Linked DNA regions of Anolis sagrei. Each later gene encodes a partner of the first gene's protein in a complex. Links are inferred from orthologs where the notes say so. Each region holds a gene or a part of one and is shown on either strand. Other genes may lie near its edges.

The links.
Region 2: the proteins of KPNB1 (region 1) and PTHLH are in contact, whole or in part, in a crystal structure (PDB 1M5N), measured with the Homo sapiens proteins. The link is inferred for Anolis sagrei from reciprocal best matches to the Homo sapiens genes KPNB1 and PTHLH. Residues at the interface, in NP_002256.2 of Homo sapiens: Val55, Tyr104, Pro106, Gln111, Glu152, Tyr156, Gln159, Asn196, Leu199, Asn200, Gln239, Glu274, Gln278, Glu281, Asp288, Ile295, Ser298, Glu299, Asp339, Asp340, Trp342, Val350, Met353, Glu395, Trp430, Arg434, Glu437, Asn469, Trp472; in NP_945316.1 of Homo sapiens: Tyr103, Thr105, Gln106, Glu107, Thr108, Asn109, Lys110, Val111, Glu112, Thr113, Tyr114, Lys120, Thr121, Pro122, Gly123, Lys124, Lys125, Lys126, Lys127, Lys129.

The regions. Positions count from the first base shown.
Region 1 is NC_090026.1:34,784,999-34,793,335, forward strand, and holds the start of KPNB1 (importin subunit beta-1), read right to left. Parts: upstream 3,178-8,337; 5' UTR 2,758-3,177; coding exon 2,718-2,757; intron 1-2,717.
Region 2 is NC_090025.1:102,554,329-102,562,051, forward strand, and holds the start of PTHLH (parathyroid hormone-related protein), read right to left. Parts: upstream 3,114-7,723; 5' UTR 2,926-3,113; intron 1-2,925. UniProt on the Homo sapiens protein: Neuroendocrine peptide which is a critical regulator of cellular and organ growth, development, migration, differentiation and survival and of epithelial calcium ion transport.

The sequences.
Region 1 (8,337 bases):
CTTTGAACTGGGATAATAATAATAATAATAATGAAGAGTACAAAAAGATATTTGGGGAGTCTTGTGTTCCACTCTCAAGAAATGAAGAAACAGGAAAAATATATTAAAAATTCCCCTGAATCAGAGTCCAGCCATATAACCCAGAGTATCAAGGCAGGAAATCCCACAACATTATTATTTATAACCCGCCACCATCTCCTCAAAGGGGACTCGGGGCGGCTGACATGAGGCCAGGCCCAAAATAATACAACATAATTAAACACAAAATAACAAGAAAGTACATAACAAAAATATAAAATAACAAATAAAATCAAACACAGAGGGCGGGCCAGATGTATGAGGTGAAATGTTAAAACGTTATATGGCAGTGTGAACTTAGGGCCCTTCCACACAGTCCTATATCCCAGAATATCAAGACAGAAAATCCCACAATATCTGCTTTGAACTAGGTTATCTGAGTCCACGCTCAGATAATGAGGGATTTTCTGGGTTATATGGCTGTGTGGAAGCGCCCAGAGAGGAAGAGCTTTGCCACCCCATCCTACATGCTAGGCCGCTAGGCCCACTGATTTGACAAAGAAGACCTCTTTGGAAATATGGGGCAGGTCGTTTGGGAGAGATGGCCTTCAGCCACGGCCTGGGCTCCACTCCTAACACAGGGCCCTTCCACACAGCCATATTGGGGCAGGTAATTCACAATATCTGCTTTGAATTGGGTTGTTTGCGCCTACACTGCCATATGCAATGTATTTTAATTGTGCTATATTTTATTCTGTTTTTGTTGTGCATGGCCCCCATATAAGCCACCCCAAGCCCTTCCGGGGAGGTGGTGGCGGGATAGAATAATAAAATTATTATGATCATTATTATTATTACACAATCATATAATCCAGTTTTATGTGGATTTTATACAGGCATGTAGAAAGGGCCACAATCATAGATCAATGCCTGGGAAACCAAAGGCCCTTCCGCACAGCCCTATATCCCAGAATATTAAGGCAGAAAATCCCCCAATATCTGCTTTGACATGAGTTATCTGAGTCCACAATCAGATAATGTGGGATTTTCTGCCTTGATATTGTGAGATATAGGGCTGTGTGGAAGGGCTTCGGGCCCTCAAAGAAAACTCTGGAGGACACGTGTGAATGACTTTGATTTAAAAAACCCCAACTCTTTTGTTATATACAAAGGTAGACATTGGACCTCTTTCTTGACCATTTTAAGGATGCAATGTGCAACTCCTTCAACTTCCTGACAGAAGTAGCAGCTTTGCCCCACGGCCATATGCTGAGAACAAGGAAGGGAGGGGGGAGAGATAGAGAGAGAAATCCGCCCCACCCAGGGTCCTGCCACAGGCCACAGAGAACCTTTGAGGACCCTTCCACACAGCCATATAATCCTGAACATCAAGGCAGATAGCCCACATATCTACTTTGGATTGGGTTATCTGAGGTCCCCTCCACATAGCTGAATAAAATCCCAGATTATCTGCTTTGCAATATATGGCAGTGTGGTCTCAGGCCCTCCACACAGTCCTATATCCCAGAATATCAAGATAGGAAATTCCCAATTATCTGAGTGTGGACTCAGATAACCCAGTTCAAAGCAGATATTGTGGGATTTCCTGCCTTGATATCCTGGGATATAGGGCTGTGTGGAAGAGCCCTGAGATAACCCAGTTCAAAATAGATATTCTGGGATTTAGGGCTGTGTGGAAGGGCCCTGAGATAACCCAGTTCAAACTATATTCTGGGATTTTCTGCCCTGATATCCTGGGATATAGGGCTGTGTGGAAGGGCCCTGAAATAACCCAATTCAAAATACATATTATGGGATTTTCTACCCTGATATCCTGGGACATAGGGCTGTGTGGAAGGGCCCTGAGATAACCCAGTTCAAAATTGATGTTCTGATATCCTGGGATATGGGGTTGTGTGGAAGGGCCCTGAAATAACCCAGTTCAAAATAGATAATGTGGAATTTTCTACCCTGATATCGTGGGATATAGGGCTGTGTGGAAGGCCCTGAAATAACCCAGTTCAAAATAGATAATGTGGGATTTTCTACCCTGATGTTCTGGGATATAGGGTTGTGTGAAAGGCCCTGAAATAACCCAGTTCAAAATAGACATTGTGGGATTTTGTGCCCTGATGTTCTGTGCTATATGGCTGTGTGGAGGGGCCCTGAGTCCACACTGCCTTATAACACAGTTCAAAGCAGATATTGTGGGATTTTATACAGCTGTGTGGAAGGGGCCTAAGCCAGACTCTCCCCTCCCCAACCTTCCCACTTCTCTCGTTTTGGGCATCGAATCCTCCACCACCCCGCATTCCCCAAACACGTGTCATCAACACCAGGAATGGCCCCCAACAAGATCCAGGAAAGAGGCCTCTTTGTGCTCAGAATCGTATGGAAGGGGAGGGGGGACCATGATCCCAATTCCCACGCGACTGCTCGCCACGCTGGGCCTCAGCCACTTCCACGTTGAGAGCGAGCGAGCGAGCGAGCGAGCGAGCGAGCCGGTCCTTACAAGGCCTTCCTCCTCCCTTCCTTCCTTCCCCTTTGGCTACTTTCCTCGCCTCCCTTCCAACGGCCTTCCTTGAGCTTTGGGGCTTTTTCTTCCCGCGTTCCGAAGGGAGCCGGTGCCCAACGGCCTCCCTTCCCCATTCCCCATATGGGCTCCCTTCTTCCCTCCTGGCCTTCTTTGCCCCTTTTACCTGGCGAGACGGTCTTCTCCAAGATAGTAATGAGCTCCATGACGGCGCAGGCGGCGGCAGCGTGAGGTAAAAACTGGGAGGGAAAGGAAGGAAAGGGGGGAGAGGGAGAGAGGGGAGAGAGGCCGAGGCGGGAATCTGCTGCCGCCGCCGCCGCCTCAGTAGTTCGACGGCCCGTTGGTCTCTGCGTGTGCCTGCCTCCTTCTCGCGCGCTTTCCTCCTCCTCCTCCTCCTTCTTCTTCCCCCTCAGTTGCGGGGCGGCCCCACCCCCGCCCGCTTGCTTGCCTGCCTGCCCGCCCGCCGGAAGCGCCTCGACCTCTCTTCTACTACTTCCCCTCCCCCTCCCCAACCGGAAGAGGGGAAAGGAAGGAAGGAAGGAGGGAGGGAGGGAGGAGGGGAAAAAGGCGCGCGCGGCGAGGTGAAGCTAGTCCGAATGGGGAGGAGAGGGAGAGGAACTCAAGTGCGAGTGCGCATGCGCGCGCCTGCCTCCCCTCCCCTCCCTCATGCGTCTTCCCTCTCCCTTGTTTGACTGACTCCAACGAGGCCTTCAGTCACGTCAACGTCCGTTGGCGTAAAAAGGAGGCGAGCGTGCTCACGCACGGAACCAATGACAGCTCTTAGCCCCGCCTCTCAACCCCGTCGTTGCCTGTCTGTCATGCTCCGCTTCGGCCGCTTATTGGTCGAACGCCAGCCAACATCCAACCCGGCGCAGTTTTTTTAAATAGTCATAGAATCCTAGAGTTGGAAGAGACTAGACCTCATGGGCCATCCAGCCCAACCCCCTGCCAAGAAGCAGGAATATTGCATTCAAAGCACCCCTGACAGATGGCCACCTAGCAGTAAATGCAGGTCAAGAGGACACATGGGATTTGGATTTCTTACACATAATTATAGAATCATAGAATCAAAGAGTTGGAAGAGACCTCATGGGCCATCCAGTCCAACCCCCTGCCAAGAAGCAGGAATATTGCATTCAAAGCACCCCCGACAGATGGCCATCCAGCCTCTGTTTAAAAGCCTCCAAAGAAGGAGACTCCACCACACCCCCAAGCAGAGAGTTCCACTACTGAATGGCTTTCACAGTCAGGAAGTTCTTCCTAATGTTCAGATGGAATCTCCTTTCTTGTAGTTTGAAGCCATTGTTCCGCGTCCTAGTTTCCAAGGAAGCAGAAAACAAGCTTGCTCCCTCCTCCCTATGACTTCCTCTCATGTATTTATACATGGATATCATGTCTCCTCTCAGCCTTCTCTTCTTCAGGCTAAACATGCCCAGCTCTTTAAGTCGCTCCTCATAGGGCTTGTTCTCCAGACCCCTGATCATTTTAGTCACCCTCCTCTGGACACATTCCAGCTTGTCAACATCTCAGTCTCCCTGAATAATGTCTTGTTGAAGGCTTTCATGGGTAGCGGTGTGGCCATGTTCCAGAAGCATTCTCTTCTGACATTTCGCCCACATCTGCTGCTGAGTATGCATGCCCAGTGTGGAACACATCTCACCACGCTAAAACAGTGGATGTGGCTCTTAATGAAACATGCTGCATTATCACGGGGTGTCTGCGTTTACTACACCATTAGAGAAATTAAACTGCTTAGCCGGTATTGCACCACCTGACATCTGCCGGGAAGTAGCAACCAATAGTGAAAGGACCAAGGCAGTGACATCTCCAGCTCATCCCCTGTTTGGGTATCAGCCAGCACGTCAACGACTTAAATCAAGACATAGTTTTCTAAGATCTACAGAGACACTTGCTGGAACATCCCAGTAAGCAAGAGTCCAAAAGTGGCAGGCTCAAACCCAGAACCTCAACCAATGGCTGATACCAAATGAGAGACTCCCCCCTGGGCACTCAGAAGACTGGGCGACTTGGAAGGTGCTGAACAGACTGCGCTCTGGCACCACGAGATGCAGAGCCAACCTTAAGAAATGGGGCCACAAAGTGGAATCCACGACATGCAACTGTGGAGAAGAGCAGACTACAGACCACTTGCTGCAATGCAACCTGAGCCCTGCCACATGCACAATGGAGGACCTCCTTGCGGCAACACCAGAGGCACTCCAAGTGGCCAGCTACTGGTCAAAGAACATTTAATAGAATACCAAGCCTGCAAACTTTGTGTTTTGTCTATTTGTTTGTTTTTTGTTAAAAAATGCAATGCAGCTGTTTGGTCTGCCCCTGACACGATAAACAAACAAACAAACAAACAAACAAATAAATAAAATGGAGTCCTCAGTGGTGCAGTGGGTTAAATCCCTGTGCCAGCAGGACTGAAGACCGACTGGTCGCAGCTTCGATTCCGGGGAGAGGCGGATGAGCTCTATCAACTCCAACTCCTCATGCGGGGACATGAGAGAAGCCTCCCACAAGGATGATAAAAACATCGAGATCATCCGGGTGTCCCCTGGGCAACGTCCTTGCAGACACCCAATTCTCTCACACCAGAAGCGACTTGCAATTTCTCAAATCGCTCCTGACACAACAAAAAAAAAGAAGAAGAAAAGAAAAGAAGAAGGCTTTCATGGCCGGAATCACTGGATTGCGGAGTGGCCATGTTCCAGAAGTATTTTCTCCTGACGTTTCGTCCACATCTATGGCTGGCATCCTCAGAAGTTGTGAGGTCTGTTGGAAACTAGGAAAATTGTGTTTATATATCTGTGGAATGTCCAAGGTGGGAGAAAGAACTCTTGTCTGTTTGAGGCAAGTGGGAATGTTGCCACTGATCACCTTGAATAGCCTTGCAGCTTCAAAGCGTGGCTGCTTCCTTTCAACAGAAAGGAGGAAATTACAAAAATGCACAAAATCTGGCTACGAGTATTTTAAAAAATCTCTAAAATGAGAGTACTAAATAAAGAAGAACACTCAAAAACAAGGAAATTCCATGCAAGAAAAAAAATCAGGGTCAGCTAACACCCCCCCCCCCCCCCCCGTAAGATGTTAAGATTACAGCACAGGCTAGAATGGTATGACTAAATATGTTAAATAACTTTATTTTACTTCCCCCCGCATAATGCGAATATGTAATGTTATGATCTACGTATATAAACTAATAAAAAATCCAAAAAATGTTATACATATCTACACATAGTGCTGGTACAGCTGTACCAGGAGCTCCTATTTTGTTTGCTTTGCAGTTAATGTTTGTTTGCAATCCCAGGCTTGGGATTTTGCAGCAGGGTGGCTTCCTGTTATAGGCTGCAATCATAGGGTAAGCCACCTGTCAATTATCATTGGGTTTCCTGGTTCCGCCCCCTTCTTAGGTTTTGGAGGAAAGAGAGCCATTTCCAGTCAGTCTCAGCCAGCTTAGCCAATGTATAGGATGTGTTTGACTTCCCCTGTACAAAGGCTTCAAGCTTTAAGAAATTCCAGGGTTGCAGAGTTTAACAGAATCTCCAGGAAAAGAACTCCAGAGAAGCCTTCCTACAGCTTTGGGAGTTTCCAGGAAGACAGCCTTAAACTCGAAAGAACTCCAGCCGGAGCAAATCCATTGCCTTTCTGGTAGGTCCTCTCAGTTCGGCCTGGCAGAGGAGCCCACACCAGTGAGGTTTGGATTCATAGTTAGCCTTGGGAGAAGTTAAAAAAGGGGAATTTTCCTTTAAAGAAAGTTACAGAAGACAGTGCCTGTTCCTTGCGAACAAGTTTGAGAGAACTGATACCTTGAAAGCTTTACAATTCCTGTTAGATTCCTTAATAAAAGACTTTGTTGTACCTTTTTAAGTCATCTGAAGATTCCTTTTGTAAGGAAAGCCTCTGAGAACATTTCCTTAAGGCCCCTGGCCTCCCGCTGAGTAAAGGTTACACATCCTATATCTAAAGTCAATTAATTATAGGCCCAGTGGCGACGGAACACATAGGAAAAATTCACACACACACACATTATATCAGAAGAATTTTGTAATGAATGTTTTCTAAAAAAAAAAAGGTACATTTAGCTACAATATATGGTGACTCTGGGGATATCCTGTGGCATTACTTACACTACATTACTCTGTAAAATTCTAAAGTTGTCCCTTACTTCCTAATTGAAATAATTTAAAAAATGGCTTTCAATCTTTCTATCCAAAGACATTTAAGTGCTAATTTTGTTATCCCACTATCACACAAATATGTAAAGTCCGCATTTCTATTTTATCATGCTATCATATATCAATCAATGAGACATTAAAAGGAAATAAAAACAGTGACACTTGCAGAATTATATGTACTTAATCTTCAAATTCTGCAAGTGTCACTGTTTTTATTTCCTTTTAATGTCTCATTGTTTGCCCGTGTGTGTGTGTGTGTGTACAGAGCAGAGCTTTCCAAGCATTTCATGGTAACATACTTTTCAGACATTGCATCGTTTTGTGACAATAATTAAGTTTTACTAGCAAATCTGACATTAAACCTTATAAAAAAGTTGGATCTATACATACATTATGACGAAATGTGTGGGGACGTGAGATATCACAAAAAGTCTCATTTATATATTTTTAAAATATATGATTTCTAAGGTTAAACAGAGGCTGGATGGCCATCTGTCAGGGGTGCTTTGAATGCAAAATTCCTGCTTCTAGGCAGGGGGTTGGACTGGATGGCCCATGAGGTCTCTTCCAACTCTATGATTCTATGATAAGGTCGCTTCAGGTGTGAGAGAATCAGCCGTCTACAAAGACACTGCCCAGGATGTGTTACGATCCTGTGGAGAGGATATATAATAACATATATTTCCAAGATTTTTGTCATTTCTCGTGATGTTCACATGATGCACACAGTGCAGCCAATTTGGGGAAATTTTGAAGTAATTTAACCCAGAATATCAAGGCAGAAAATCCCACAGTATTTTCTTTGAACTGGGTTATCTGAGTTCACACTGCCATATATTCTGTTTCAGACCAGATACATGTGGGATTTGATTCAGCCGTGTGGAAGGGGCCTCAGAATGTACTATCTATACCAGGAATGGGCAACTTGGGGGTCTCCAGAGGCCAATAGTAGCCTCCAAATCCTCAGGAGTGACATGAATGCCCAAAAGATAATATGGAAGTATGAAGTCTACTTTTGATTTTGAAATGCAAACTATTAACAAATATTATTTGTGTATGTTGCATGATTGTTGTGAGGACACTTAGACCTACAGGCTATTTACACTGCGCCACATTTGCCATTAATGTCAAGTTGGTCGAGATCCCTTTAGAGCAGGCATGGGCAAACTTTGACCCTCCAGGTGTTTTGGACTCCAACTCACACAATTCCTTCTAGGAGCTCCAGTTTGCCTTCTTTTGTCATCTTCTCCCCAAAGTTTGGGCTGGAGGTCTGGATGAGACTGAGCTGTAGAGAAACGGCTTTAGGCTGTGTGTGTGGTCCCAGGGCTGCCTTGTCTGCCTTTGCTTAGGCTAATTGGGAAACATTCTTTCATATTTCAGGCAAAGGTTCTTTTCACTCCATCCTAGAGATGCCAGGATGCTAGTTGAGCTTGTTCTCTGCCGCTGAGCTATGGCCCTTACTGTTGAGATTTACTTTAAGAGACTTTAATTTAATTTAAGGCTGCTTTGGGATTTTTCAGTTTGTGTCTCTAATTGTGTGCAGCCTATTTTTTAAAATATAAAATAAGGTAATAACATTTTAGCAATACTTTTCATTTGAGG
Region 2 (7,723 bases), on another chromosome or scaffold:
GACACTGGTTGGAACACCTCAGCAAGCGAGAGTCCAAAAGTGGCAGGCTCAAACCCAGCACCTCAATCCATGGGTGATACCAGATGAGAAACTCCCTTCCCCCCCCCCCCCCCGGGCACACAGGAGACTGGGCGACTTGGAAGGCGCTGAACAGATTGCGCTCTAGCACCACGAGATGCAGAGCCAACCTTCAGAAATGGGGCTACAAAGTTGAATCCTCGATATGCAAGTGTGGAGGAGAGCAAACCACTGACCACCTGCTGCAATGCACCCTGAGCCCTGCCACATGCACAATGGAGGACCTTCTTGAGGCAACACCAGAAGCACTCCAAGTGGCCAGATACTGGTCAAAGGACATTTAATCAACTACCAAACTTGCAAATTTTGTGTTTTTTTCTGTTTGTTTGTTTTGTTCTGTTAGAAATGTAATACAACTGACTGGTTGCCCTGACACGACAAATAAATACCAGGGTGGGACAAAGAACTCTTGTCTGCTGGAGCTAGGTGTGAATGTTTCAACTGACCACCTTGATTAGCATTTGATGGCCTGGCAGTGACTGGGGCAATCTTTTGTTGAGAGGTGATTAGATGTCCCTGGTAGCAGAGCACCTGATGAACCAACCGACACAGCATATTATTTGAGAAGACGGAAATGCTGGACCACTCTCACAAACACCATGTCAGACTACACAGAGAAGCCACTGAAATCCACATGCATGTGGACAATTTCAACAGAAAGGACGAAACTATGAAAATGAACAAAATCTGGCTACCAGTATTCAAAACCTCTAAAATTACAACAGCAAAACAACAGAGGGAAAACAATCAGGGACATCTAATCAAATGCTAATCAAGGTGGTCAGTTGAAACATTCACACCTAGCTCCAGCAGACAAGAGTCCTTTATCCCACCCTGGCCATTCCACAGATATATGATCTATGTTAATTTTATCAATATCTGTATGTATTTTTATCCTTTACCATTTTAGCTTGTAAATCGCCTAGAGAGCATCTTGGATGGAGGGCAATTAATAAGTAATTAAATGATGATGATGATGATATATAAACCCATTTTCCTAGTTCCAACAGACCTCACTACCTCTGAGGATGCTTGCCATAGATGCAGGCAAAACATCAGGAGAGAATGCCTCTACAACATGGCCATATAGCCCGGAAAAACCTACAACAACTCATTTATCAAAATACTAAATACACCATTTAAAACCTTCCTAGCCATCTGCATCAAATCCAATTGGCCCTGTCATCTTTCCCATTGTCGTTTCATTGCCCTGTCCCGAAAGCTTGGTCCCACAGCCAAGTCTTTCCCACCCTTCTAAAGAACAGGAGGGAGGGGGCCGACCAGATCTCACCAGGAAGGGAGTTCCATAGCCGGGGAGCAATCACCGAGAAGGCCCTGTCTCTCGTCCCCACCAATCGCGCCTGTGACAATGGCGGGACAGAAAGCAGGGCCTCCCCGGAGGATCTCTGTGATGGTTCATAGGGGGAGATGTGTTCGGACAGGTTATTTGGGCCAGAGCTGTTTAGAGAAGCGCTGCCTGTGAGGAGGCCCACAGACAGGGACTCCCTCAATCCCCATCCTGGACCACCAAGGTTTTCCCCTGACATTAAGTCCAGTCATGTCCGACTCTGGGCGTGTGGTGCTCATCTCCATTTCTAAGCCGAAGAGCCGGCATTGTCCATAGACCCCCCTCCAAGGTCATCTGGCCGGCATGACTGCATGGAGTGCTGGAGCGGTACCTACTGATCTACTCACATTTGCATGTTTATGAACTGCTAGGTTGGCAGAAGCTGGGGCTGATGGCGGAAGCTCGTGCTGCTCTCCGGATTTGAACCTGTGACCTTTTGGTCCGTAATAATAATACTTTTTTTGGTCGTATCAGGAGCAACTTGAGAAACTACAAGTCGCTTCTGGCGTGAAAGAATTGGTCGTCTGCAAGGACGTTGCCAAGGGGACGCCTGGATGATTTGATGTTTTATCATCCTTGTGGGAGGCTTCTCCCATGTCCTCGCATGAGGAGCTGGAGCTGATAGAGGGAGCTCATCCGGCTCTCCCCGGATTCGAACCTGTGACCTGTCGGTCTTCAGTACTTTATTTATACCCCGCCACCATCTCCCCGGTGGGCACTCGGAGCGGCTTACATGGGGCCAAGCCCGGACAACATATTACAGCAATAAAATCAAAACATAAACAACTAACAAACTACAACATCATCATAATTACATAAGAGAAGGGGGAAAAGGCAATCATAAAATAACATTGTAATAAAGACAATCACAGTAACGATAACAATGGGTGGGCCGCATATACAGGATAAAACAATTAAAAGACTGTAATGAGATAAAATAGGAGCAGGACATTTACGGGAAACTCATAAAAACACAGAGTTGTTAGGCTAAACTTCCCATTTGGAGGGTGCACAATCCAGTAGCAGAAAACGTTGGGGGGTGCAAAATGTCATGGTCACCAAAGGTACAGCGGAAGAGCCAGGTTTTAAGATTCTTTTTTAACGTTTCTAGTGAACAAGCTCAGCAGCTCAGTGCTTTAACCCACTGCGCCACACCGGTCCCAAATCCCCACATTCTACCTCATCACTCTTGGAATAGTTGTTTTGCACCCAGACAAACGCTGGCAGGACCCCTGTGCTGGCAGGACTAAAGACCGACAGGTCGCAGGTTCGAATATGGGGAGAGGAGGATGAGCTCCCTCATTCAGCTCCAGCTCCTCATGCGGGGACATGAGAGAAGCCTCCCACAAGGATGATAAAAACATCAAATCATCCAGGCGTTCCCTGGGCAACGTCCTTGCAGACGGCCAATTCTCTCACACCAGAAGCGACTTGCAGTTTCTCAAGTCGCTCCTGACACGACCAAAACCCAGACAAACAAGACAACCCCGAAGCCTTACTTTTCCTTTGCCTTCCTAGAAGTCAGCCCCGTTTCCTGGGCAGCACCCACTTCTAGGGGTCCTCTCTGCTTCTCTTTCTCTCTCTCTGACAGGCCAGTGGCAGCGAATAATCCGATTCTAGGTTTGACTCCTTTCTGTCATAACGATGAAGCAGTTGCTTCCTTCCCGCCTCCCTGTTGCCTCAGTGAAGGCTCCGAGAGGGAGTCTCTTCCTATATAAGGGAAGCGAGGAAAAGGAGGGGGTGAGAGAGAGTGGTGGGGGGAGATTCCCCTTTTTGGGTTGACTCGCCAAAGACGTCGAGCCCGCGCGCTGGGGTTGTCCTCCCGTCACGTGACGCTCACGCGGGCTCTCCGAGGCGCGCCCAGGGGCGCGAGACTGGTTGGGCGGCGCGAGCCACGTGCCTCAAAGCAGATGAGCCAACCACGCCCTCGTCGCCTCATTGGCCGCCTCACCTGAGTCCCCGCCCCTCGGGGTCTCCAAGTGGTCCACAAAGGGTGCTTGGGACCTCGAAGCTCCTCCTCAGTGTGAGAGAGGCTCCAAAGTCTCCCTCCTCTTTCTTTCCTTCTTTCCTTCCCTCAACGTGCCGAGGCACGAGTTTGCACCGCTTTATCTGATTTTACGCCTGAGTTTGTCAAGCGTTCACTTCCGAGGAAGGCTGTCTTTGTTGATTTCCTAATCTTGGCACTGCGGGGAGGGAGCCACTCTCGAGTTGTGAAACTGCCCTCGAAGGGAAAGGGGGGGAGGGGCTCGGCAGGAAGCCTCGACCTCTTCCCTCAAGGGAAGCTCTACTTACTCCCAAATAACGGTCCACATTGAGCTGGAAAGAGCTCTCCACAGAGATCTGAGTGGGCTTGCCTGTTTCTGCTTCGATCTCCACGGAGCGGGGTTGCAAAAGCCCTCATCTATCTATCTATCTATCTTATCTATCTATCTATCTTATCTATCTATCTTATCTATCTATCTTATCTATCTATCTAATCTATCTATCTAGCTAATCTATCTAGCTAATCTAGCTAGCTAGCTATCTAATCTATCTATCTAATCTATCTATCTAATCTATCTATCTATCTATCTATCTAGGGAGCCCCCGGTAGCGCAGTGGGTTAAAGCACTGAGCTGCTGAGCTTGTTGATCAAAAGGTCGCAGGTTCGATTCCGGGGAGCGGCGTGAGCTTCCGCTGTCAGCCCTAGCTTCTGCCAACCTAGCAGTTCGAAAACATGCAAATGTGAGTAGATCAATAGGTTCCACTCCGGCGGGAAGGTAACGGCGCTCCATGCAGTCATGCTGGCCACATGACCTTGGAAGTGTCTACGGACAACGCTGGCTCTTTGGCTTAGAAATGGAGATGAGCACCACACCCCAGAGTCAGACATGACTGGACTTAATGTCAGGGGACTACCTTTACCTACCTTATCTATCTATCTATCTATCTAAATAAATAAAATTGTAATGTTCGTTTGTGGGGTTAACATAACTCAAAAACCACTGGACAAATTGCCGCCAAATTTGGACACAAGGCACCTAATAACCCAATGTATGTCCTTCACTCAAAAAAATTACGATTTTGTCATTTGGGAGTTGTAGTTGCTGGGATTTATAGTTCACCTACAATCAAAGACCATTCTGAACCCCACCAACAATGGAATTGAACCAAACTGGGCACACAGTTCTTCCATGACCAACAGAAAATACTGGAAGGGTTTGGTGGGCAGTGTCCTTTGGTTTTGGAATTGTAGTTCACCTACATCCAGAGATCACTGTGGACTCAAACAATGATGGATCTGGACCAAACTCTACAAGAATACTCAATATGCCCAAATGTGAACACTGGTGGGGTTTGGGAAAAATAGAATCTTGACATTTGGGAGTTGTAGTTGCCAGGATTTATAGTTCACCTACAGTCACACAGCATTCTGAACCCCAGCAACAATAGAAATAGGGCCAAACCTCCCACACAAAACCCCCATGTGGGCCATAGCAATACACCTATCAGGCCAACGAGTGACCATAACTCAAAAAATGGATTTTGTCATTTGGGAGTTATAGTTGCTGGGATTTACAGTTCGCCAACAATCAAAGAGCATTCTGAACCCCACCATTGATGGAATTGAACTAAACTTGGCACACAGGACTTCCAAGACAAACAGAATACAGTAGAAGGGTTTGGTGGGCATTGACTTTGAGTTTGGGAGTAGTAGTTCACCTACATCCAGAGAGCACTGTGGATCTGGACCAAACTTGGCACAAATATTCCATATGACCAAATATGAACAAAGATGGAGTTTGGGGAAAATAGACATTGACATTTGGGAGTTGTCGTTACTGGGATTTATAGTTCACCTACAATCAAAGAGCATTCTGAACCCTACCAACAACAGAACTGGGGCAAACTTCCCACACAGAACCCCCAAACTTAAGGCCATCCAGTCCAACTCCCTTCACTAGGGCAAGAAAACATAATCAAAGCCCTCCTGACAAACAGCCATCCAGCCATAGATATAGATAGATATATATGATTCACACACACACACAGATATAGTATCCTAGATTTGAAAGGGACCCCTAAAGAAGGACAATTATATGTTGCATGTTCCAGAGTAGGCAAACCAGACAATCTCCACATCAATACTGACAAAGAAACAGCAAGAAATACTGTTTACCCACAAACATAAAGAAATTACATATATTAGACACCAACACTTTCTCATTACTTTGTTTTCCAGATCACCAGACTGGGCCACAGCAACGCCTGGCAGGGGACGGCTAGTAGAATCATAGAGTTGGAAGAGACCTCATGGGCAGGCCAGTAGCCAGGATTTTGTTTCGGGGGGGGGGGGGGGAGGGGGGCTGGCTGAGTTTGATTCGGGGGGGGGGGCTGAGTCTGAGTGAAAGAGTGTTTACCCTAGCAAACCTTTTGTATTGTTACCCCAATACCCCCATGCATATGGGATATATTGAGTATGGTGATCAGATCATGATATGAATAAACATAACAGTTTAAATAATGCACCAGTAAGGCCTTTTCGCGGGCCACCATGAGAATTTGGGGGGGGGGGGGCTGAAGCCCCCAAAGCGCCCCCCCCCCGCTACATGTCTGCTCATGGGCCATCCAGTCTAACCCCCAACAGCATTCAAAGCACCCCCAACAGATGGCCATCCAGCCTCTGTTTCAAAGTCTCCACCACACTCCGGGGCAGAGAGTTCCACTGCTGAACAGCTCTCACAGTCAGGAAGTTCTTTCTCATGTTCAGGTGGAATCTCCTTTCCTTTAGTTTGATGCCATTGCTCCTTGGAACTGGGAGCCGCTTCCCCCTTTGGCATTGTGTTTATATTTTTGCCTCCCGATCCCATCTTTGCCTCCAACTCAACTCTACCGCTGAGCTCCACGAGCAGGTTCGACCCGTCGGAGCTGCTCCTCTTTTATCTCTTTTTCGCGAAAGAAAGAAAAAACAACAACCAAGCGAAGGATGTTTTGCCAAACTTGCAGCCTGCTTCTTAGACTCGAGCAGGCTCTGTGTGTGTCTCTCTCCTCCCTCCCTCCCTCCCCCTCGTTTCCCCCCTTTAGATTGACTTTCAATTTCGAAGAGGGCAAGGATTCAGTTATTTAATTCATAAAGTCTGTTTCCTTCTATATATAGCTCCGTGGTGAATGCTGCTGGCACGCGCTGGGGAAGCCTGGCGGAAGTCCAGGCGGGGAAAAAACAGGACCGGGTTGTCTCCTTGCGGAGCTGTTTGCCTTGCCTTGAAGGCCGGCGGGTGGCCTGGAGGGCGGGCCCAGGACGGTGAGCTGTCCATGGTGGCCCACAGGACACAGGCGCGTGCCTCGGCCTTGGTTTCCCTCGTTCCCTGTCGCGGCCTCGTGACGTCACGTGCTGCGGGGCAGAGGCGCGCGCCCACACATGCCCAGCGGAGGGACCCGCGCGAAGGCCTCTTCGAAGTTAGCAACGCCTGTGAGGGGAGGCGTTAGTGAGTGCGCTCAAAGAGGCTTTGACAGTGGTCAGGACATGTCACTTCATTGGGTAAGCCTTGGGAAGCACCTACTTTTGCACAATAGGATTCTGCAAACACCTCTCGCCCTTTTGTAGTTTGTAATATTGGGTTGTTGTAGGTTTTTTCGGGCTATATGGCCATGGTCTAGAGGCATTCTCTCCTGACGTTTCGCCTGCATCTATGGCAAGCATCCTCAGTGGTAGTGAGGTCTGTTTGAACTAGGAAAATGGGTTTATATATTTCTGGAATGACCAGGGTGGGACAAAGGACTCATGTTCTGTCGCGCGTTGGGCCTGTAAATGTTGTTGTTGCTCATTCGTTCAGTCGTCTCCGACTCTTCGTGACCTCATGGACCAGCCCACACCAGAGCTCCCTGTCGGCCGTCACCACCCCCAGCTCCTTCAAGGTCAGTCCAGTCACTTCAAGGATGCCGTCCATCCATCTTGCCCTTGGTCGGCCCCTCTTCCTTTTGCCTTCCACTTTCCCCAGCATAATTGTCTTCTCTAGGCTTTGCTGTCTCCTCATGATGTGGCCAAAGTACTTCAGACCTCAGCTCTGAGGATGCTTGCCATAGATGCAGGCGAAACGTCAGGAGAAATGCCTCTAGAACATGGCCATATAGTCCGAAAAACCCCACAAGAACTGAATGATTCCAGCCATGAAAGCCTTCGACAATACATTACTTCAGCTTTGTCTCTAGTATCCTTCCCTCCAATGAGCAGCCGGGCTTTATTTCCTAGAGGATGGACTGGTTGGATCTTCTCGCAGTCAAAGGCACTCTCAGAACTTTCCTCCAGCACCACAGCTC